2 linked regions of the Drosophila melanogaster genome follow. The protein of the gene in region 2 interacts with the protein of the main gene of each other region in a pairwise test. Each region holds a gene or a part of one and is shown on either strand. Other genes may lie near its edges. The genes, in order: bic and Arp10.

Region 1 (3,949 bases), on a different chromosome or scaffold from region 2:
TATAAAACAAGTTGGCAGGACAAAAAATCAAAACAAAACCCAATTGGAAACCTAATAAACATCAATTAAATATATTTGCCACAATTAAATATGAGTTTTTAACTCTATTTGACCTCGTCACTGATAAAAATACTAGCATTTGCATTAACCTTAATCCGTTATAGGTCGTCGAAATGTGATAAGAAGCCGCAATCGCTTGTTTATGTACAAATGAGTGGAAACTTCAAGAAACATTCCGGTTGAACTGGCCTAATCGCAATTTTAAGCCAATTTAAACGTGACTCATTTCGAAGATTTCCGACCAAAAACCATATACATATTTATATATATACATATGTGCATGTACCGCATGCTACGACTCCCAACTTTGGATTTGGACACATAATTTGGAAGTTGCGTACGGGTCATAGTTCCTGCCGAAGGAGCCTTCTGACCATCTGGATTTTAGACGTACCATACCAAATGTCAACAAGTTTTCGACTGCCGCGTGCTTTGCGCCACACCTCCCACTACCCCTTTCCCATCACCTCGAAAACCTCACACAAGAGCGTTGCTATGCATACACACACAGGCCCACACTCACACACATGTCGATTATGCAAGCAAAGAAAAAAATAGGCATTAAACTAAAAAAAAAATGCTGGAAATATGAATGGGTCGTATGGTTTTTACAGCTCATTTAATGTTATGCATGGTAATGATGGTCTAAAACAATAGTTTACAAATTATAAGCTATGCTTTCAACAATTTGGGCACATTGTTCTCGAATCGAAATTGTGGCCTCAGCTTGTTTTCGTTTTCAATTGAGGATTCCTTGAGGGCGGGGTTACATCGAAAAGTCGGAAATTGGGGAAAATCGGTAAGAGCTAGTAGTGCTAAAAATATATTTCTCTGTCCTCGCGACCTGGCAATGAATTCATCTGGAGTGTCTGCGTTGTTCCCCTAATCACCTCGTCACAATTCTTCCGAAAACCGTATCGTATATATATAGTATATAGTGTTTTATGACAGCGCATATATCTATAGATACATCTGTGTGTGTTGTTCTTGGGAGGGCGGCAAAAATTAGAATGTGTGTGTTGTTTAGACTGTGGTTTTTTTTGGTTAAGGAAACGTTCTTTAATCGCTTTGGAAAATACATTTGACTGTTCCAAACTAGTACAATTAGATTAAGATTGAAGGGTTCCCTTAGTATGTTAAGTATAGTTATTATGCTTATGTGTTCTGTTCAGCGCTCACTCGGATGCCTTTATTTTTGTATTTTAGTATAGTGTGTAGCATGACCCCCAAAAAAGTGGCTGGAGGGAGCACGAAGAATGGCCCATTCAGGGCAGAAGCGCTGGTTGCAGTCCGGAGTGGATCCGTTTCCGATTTGGAACCGGAATGGGTAAGTGGTAGATGTGTTTCCGGCGTGTCTGGTGTGTGGGTTCTGCCCTGTATGCCAGCCACTTCGTCTTGCTCCCTGGCCCCGTATGTTTTGTATGTATGTTTTTGTGTTCGGTGTGTGGTGGTGTGATTTGCCCGGGTGGGCGGGGTTGGACCAGCCTAAGCGGAGGCCGCCACCTCACCGGACTTCTCCTCCTTTGTGTCGGCGATGGCCACCTCCTCGAAGTTCTCGACCAGATCGGGCACATCATCGTCACCGGCATCGGCGGCTGAAGAGCCGGCTGCTCCGCCGGCGCCGCTCTTGCTGGCAATCTCCGTGGCCAGCTTCTTCAGCTGGTTGATGTCCTGGGGACCCAGTTGCGTCAGAATGCCGGGCACCATCTCGGTGATCGTCTTGTTCTCGCCATGACCCGTGATGGCAAACGTGTTCGTCGGCAGCGAGGCCTGGGCCTTCGGATTGTTGAAGTGGATGACGGTGCCATCGTTCTTGATGATGTTCACCTCCTCGATGCCGGGAATTGTGTTTACCGACAGCTTCTTGAGCGACGACTGCAGCTTCTTGTCGTCGGTGGCGGGCGTGGAGTGGACGATCTTCTTCTTGCGGCGAGGGGTGCCCTTGCCGCCAATGCGCACCTGCGCCTGCAACTTCTTCAGCTTTTCCGCGTTCATCTGTTCAATTGAGTACACACAATGGTCGCATCAGTAAAACGCCAATCGAATGCCGCACTTTCCACTACTCACTTTGATTTTACTAGAATTTAGCACAGAGCCTTGCCAGAAAACACGTGCGCCCAGTCGTAGTCAAATGTCAAAAAGAAATCGCCATGATAAAAATGGCAAAAGGTGTATGTATATGTGAGTAGTACTGGTAGGAAGTACTAAACGTGAGTGTTGACTATCGATAGCTCACAAGGTGGCAACCAAAGCGCGCCAAAGAAATTTAAAAATTCTATTGTTTATATAATTTATACATTATTTTTGAAGTAATACGTTTTCTGAATTTTGAATGAATTTTTAGTTTTGAATATATTCAAATTTTTAGTAGTATATGGTGGGAAAGTAAATCTACTCAGGGCATAAATCTCAATTTAATCGATTTACTTTATTTTCATCGCTTTCAACCACATATATAAGTAAATATGTTTAAAAATTTGCTATATAAAATTAAAAATAAACGTGGTAAGAAAAAAAACCAATTTACTAAACATTTGGAATGTTAATAAACATAATTATGAGCCATCATAAACCCAGCAATAAAGTTTTAAACACAATTAAACCAGATGTAATGTTTGAATTAATTAATTCTTATATTTTCTATTCCAATAGTATCGATTGCTTTGTTGAGTTCGATAGCTATCGTTGGCTTGCATCGACTACTCACTAAACTCAGCAGTCAGTGCTGCATAACGTCATCATTATGATAAATTGTAATGTTTTAAAAAATATCTATACAAAATATACAAGCTTAGTATAACAAACTCAATTTAGTAAATATTTGGAACGCAAATAAATAAAATTATGAGCCATTATATACCTTGCAATAAAGTTTTAAACACAATTAAATCAGATGTTATGTTTGAATTATCGATTGCTGTGTTGAGTGCGCTAGCTATCGCCGCTTTACATCGACTGCTCACTAAACATAGCCAGCGCAGTCAGTGCTGCATAACGTGCACCCATTATCATCATGATAAATTGTATTACTTTCAGATTAACGCTGATAAGATATAGTTAATTCCAATCGGGCTTCAATAACGACCTTCCGGTAGAGTAGTTCACTGATATTTAAGTGAATTATACGGGTGCTGCCAAAAAGCGGATAAATCCGATAAATAGGCAGTGCATTCCCTGCAACAAGTGGAATTTTCGACTTTAAATACAGATATTAACAAAGGGAAATAACCGCTAAATCCTTGTCAAACGTAAGTATTTCACGACGTCTTATCGACTATGAAACGAGCTTTTAAACACATTAACTTCTTCCGCAGTGGACGACTTTGAGTTGGACGATATAGACGATTTCGCCATGGATTTCTGGGGCATTTTCATGTTCTTTCTGCTCACCTTCCTCATCATGAGTTGCTGCGGATATTGCTGCACCAGCAGACGCCAAGGTGCCGTTCTGTCCAGTGAGTAACTGTATAAAATATATGTAGAAGTATTAGCCTATAAGCCATTAATCAAATAAAAACTCCCCGATGAGTCATTCAGAAAGACAAAGCAGCCGGAGTTTAGCTCAAAAGATGAGTTTTATGAGTGAGCGAGTGTGTGTAAGAGTATATAAAATCCTATTCGTGTTAAGAAGTGATAATAACAATTATATTTAGTCGATATACATATTTATAGAGAGAGAGAGACAGATCTGAATAATGGGAGAGAGCTTTTGGCTTGTTTGGTTTTTTTCTTTTGCCTCTCCACCGATTCGTAAACAACATTAAGTATGCTCAGCAATAAGCGGAACTTACTTTATCAGCAAGGGCCAAAGTAATTGTCTATTTATGTATGTTTATTTATATGGCCGTATCTTATCTGAAACAAGTGAATAGTCTGTTGTCCCTTTCTG
Region 2 (4,249 bases):
TTCATCGGCTTCTTCGTTAAGTTGATACACATCCCCATCAACAATATCATCGTGGGCTCTTAAATGCGCTGAGTGGCAAGGAAACCACCAATCATCCAATCATCCATTATAGCATACATCAGATCAACGTCTTTTTTTTTCGTTTAGTTAACATGCATTATATGTATGGACCATGTGCATTCAGCGAATGCCTTTCTAACAAAATTCTACACAAACGTACGAAAACGTATTGTAATGTTTCGATATTCCATTCATGAACAAGTTAGTTAATAAGATTCAAATGTAAAAAGGAATCACCCGTCTTCATAGCATTTGTTTGGGGTGCGCATCCCCGCTAATAAATGTTAAATTGATTTTCCGTGTACAAATGAGATTCTTTTAACTCTGAGAGACGCAACGTTACATTGCTTGAAGAAAGTAAAGTTGTAAATGAAGCTGATAAACCGACATCATCATTAGAACCAAGAATAAATGTCCAGAAAACGTACAAGCAATATTTTGTTTAAAGCTCGTTAGCCTATATTTCGTAAATATTTAATACCTATATATTACAGAATAATAATCAAGAGTATGTTAGTACGCGTAACCAGTAAAGCGCCGAAGCGTACATATTTCCATCTTCCGGGACTGCCCTCGAGTCTACGAGCCTGTCGGCCTATTATCGCACAGGTTGCTCCAGTCGGGAACGTGCTCGCTCTTTAGATACGTCTCCTTGACCAGCGATCGTGTCTGGATGAGATCCGTCGCGCCGCACAAGGCGCCGCCCAGCCAGGCAGTAAAGTTTTGCTTGCCGACAGCATTGAAAAACTTGAACTGCAGCTCGCCATGGAAGCGTTCGGCGTAGAACGGATCCTCGGTGAGCAGATGCTGCAGCTCCTGGCGGAGGCGGGCCAGCAGACCCTGGACCATTGAGCCGCCGCCCACGAGGAACACACTCTCGACCAGGGCACGTCGCACGTCTAGTGTGCAGTCGAGAATGGAGCGCAGGATGAGATGCGGCAGGCTGTCCCGCTCGTTGCTGGCCTCGAACATGATCTCGTAGGCAGACTCCCGCAGGAGGCCGGGCACCTGGATGACCGCATCGTTGTCGCTGACAATGTAGTCCACGTCTGGCGCGGGAGTCGGCTGATTCTCGTCGCCGTTGGCGCGGGCCTTGGCTCTTTCCATGGTGGTCACAAAGCAGGTTCGCACCTTGATGTCCTCCAGCACGCTTTCTGTTAGCAGGCTCTCCTTAACGCCACTCTCAACCAGCTGCCGCTTGATCTCCGCGTGGATGGCGCTGCCTCCGTAGCTCTGATCCTTGAAGGCGGCCATGATTTGCACCCCGCTGAAGACGGGCATAACGCTGGTCTCGCTGTAGCCAACGTCCACCACAAGGGCAGTGGGCACTGCCAGCGTAGACAGCGCAATGAGATGCACGGGCACGAACAGCACGGAGGAGACGTCGAAGTGGACAAAGAGCACGCGGGCCAAGGTTTCACGCAGCACAGTGGATCCGAACACGTTCTCCACCAGCACGAACTTGCGCTCCTTGGGGCTGACCAGTAGATGCCTAGAAGGAAATTACATTGCAATAGAAACCAAAGCCACCGAGTCACCTACTTGAAGAAGATCGTCTGCAGAAAATCCACTAGCTGGTCGTACAGCTCCTCCGGAGTGTCGTAGTCGAACAGACGCTTCCGGATCCCCGTCGTGGTCATCACCACCTCCGTGGGCATGATCTTGCGCGGATACGCCTCCGCTGCGAATCCCAGCCTGAAAAGGGTGCAGTGATGACTTCATACCACTTTCGCCGAATTATTTGCGTTTGCTTACTTGGTGTAGGCGGTGCCAATGTCGAGGACAATGGGCGGCTTCTCCTGCATCACGCTCTCGTAAATGGGCATCTTGGCTGCTGTCTGCTGGCTGCTTGCTCCTTTGCTGGACGAACCGACTAGACCATGGAATGGTATATTGTTCAGTTCGCTTAATTTTTGGCCAAAACAAGAAGTTATCGGTGTGCGGAAATCATCGATTGACGATGTAGCGAGCAAACACCCTGTTTCCACTAATGGCATCCGTTTTACTGGCACGCTTTTCAAATTTCTGGGTAACTTTAAAACTTTGCCTATTGGTTTGAAATACATTCAATTTGGTATTTTGGTATTTTATGGCTTTTAAAACCCAACAAGATAAAATTTTGAAAGTAGCTCGGAATCATTTGGTGTCAGTCGATTATTCTGCTTTTAAGAGGTCTAACTCTTACGTACAAATAGAATCAACTTTACTTTAGTTTATTGCAGTGTACATACATATGTATGCTTTTCAGTAAGTTTACAAAACTACTTTATCGAATTTAAGAAGTTAATTTCGCGAGTTTGAAGCTAATAATTATAATGATTCTTGTGAAATTAAATTCATATATCTTAAGAACAACTTTTGTTCAATATAATCGCAAAGTCTCCGGGCGCGCTTCGTCACTACATTAACTGCCGTCCACAGTGATGTTTTCTTGCATGGATATCGTCCTGTTTGAAATTATTATATTGCGTATTACTAAAACAAGTCGGTTCCACTTTGAATTTTTAAATTTATTTCAAATTTATCTGCTTTATCTTATTTCGATTTGTGTTTTTGCACGGTCGACCGCTTCGATTTCATTATGTTTTCTTAGTATCCTGGTGTGTTTTTGGGCTATAATTATTATACTGCATAATGCATGATGCATTCGCGGTGCGGGATGTGTGATCATATACAATTTGATGTATTATATAATAATAACTTTTGCCTATCAACTAAACCTAAGCGTAATTTCAGAAATATTCCTTCAAATGATAAATGTGTACAATTATATAAATTACATTATGCCTGCGCATAGGTAACTATACAAAACGAGGAAAGCACAATTCATTAAATAATTAATTAATTAACTATGTATAAAATGGTCTTCTGGCGTCTCTGCGAAGCACCTGGGACCTGGGGCCATAGGACGAGGGCTAAGGATTGCGGATTGACGGTTGTGGGCCGGAGTATTGCTAACTAGCGATTCTAGTAGTTCCTTTGAGCAAACAAGTTTAACAAATTTCGAATAATAAATAACAAAGCAGTAACAAGTCACGAGTCACCATTTTCCTCCAGAAACTGGGGGGGAAACGGTTCGGATCGAAGCGGTTGCGATGCCCGCATGAGACAAATTCAATAAAAAATTGCTTCATTGCGGGTACGCTTAAAATTTAGTTGTTAAAATAAATAAATTAATAACTGTAAGATCTGATTGGGAACTGGGACTGGGACTGGGACACGGACTGGGTCATGGTCTTGGACAAGGGCGAGAAAAAGTGCGAACTCATCGTCTAAGCTAATTTACAGTTACATTCAGTTCAGTCGTCGCTAGTTTGGCAGCTGAGGTGGCCGTGGTCTCGACATGCTCCTGATCCCGGTCCTCGACCAGGACAGAGGTGGTGTCACTGGTGGCGCCGCCTCCGCTGCGACGCCTCCTCCTGCTTCTCCTATCCTGTTCCTGTTCGTTTGTGTATCTCGTTTTCTGCTTCCGCTGCGCTCCGTGTCACTTCTCCGGCCCAAAGAGCCTGGCCAGACTCGCGTTCTGATTGCTATCCATGATGTCAGCCGTGGTGCCCATGGATCCCTTGGCCTTGTGCGACTGCATGGGCGGCAGATTGGCTATCTGCACCTCGTGCCGGAACAACTGGTTCACGCTGCGTCCGACCAGCTGGGCGGTCAGCTTTTTGAAGATGTCCTTCTTGGCGCGATCCACTTTGTTGCCCTTGACGGGCGCCACGGCAATCTTTTCGTCGAACTTTTGAATGTCGGCCGCATTCACGCTGGGGATATGCTGCAGCACTTCGCTGAGAATGGGGAACTGCGGACGGAGCAGCTCGTAGAACTGCACGCCCAGCGTCACCAGGCCCGATTGGTTGGCCTCGTGCTGACCGTGCACCTGCATGCCCTGCAGGACGGCGGTAAAGGCCGTGACGGCCTTGTTCTCGTCCATTAGTTTCTCGGCGGCCAGGAAACGCATCACGGGCGCTGCGATGTTGACAGCCTTCATGCTGCACATGCCGTCGTTCCAGGCGATGGCTTTTAGCAAGGTCATGAGCACATAATTGCCAATGAGTCCGTTGCGCAGCAGCTTGCCGCCCAAGTCGCTTATGATGTCCGAGAGCAGTGCCGACTGGATTGCTCGCGATTGCGGTGCGCTGTCCATCGAGTGCTCCTCATTCTCCATGGCCACAGAATTGCTGTTGGCATT

The links.
Region 1: the proteins of Arp10 (region 2) and bic interact in a two-hybrid assay, tested with the Drosophila melanogaster proteins (2 studies listed by BioGRID).

The regions. Positions count from the first base shown.
Region 1 is NT_033778.4:12,868,509-12,872,457, reverse strand, and holds bic (bicaudal), read right to left. Parts: upstream 2,210-3,949; 5' UTR 2,128-2,209; exon of another isoform or gene 2,056-2,127; coding exon 1,546-2,055; 3' UTR 664-1,545; downstream 1-663.
Region 2 is NC_004354.4:19,644,031-19,648,279, forward strand, and holds Arp10 (Actin-related protein 10), read right to left. Parts: upstream 2,147-4,249; 5' UTR 1,887-2,146; coding exon 1,816-1,886; intron 1,756-1,815; coding exon 1,603-1,755; intron 1,553-1,602; coding exon 640-1,552; 3' UTR 501-639; downstream 1-500. Other genes in the region: Sec61gamma (Sec61 gamma subunit), read left to right, coding at 1-63; Ranbp21, read right to left, coding at 3,545-4,249.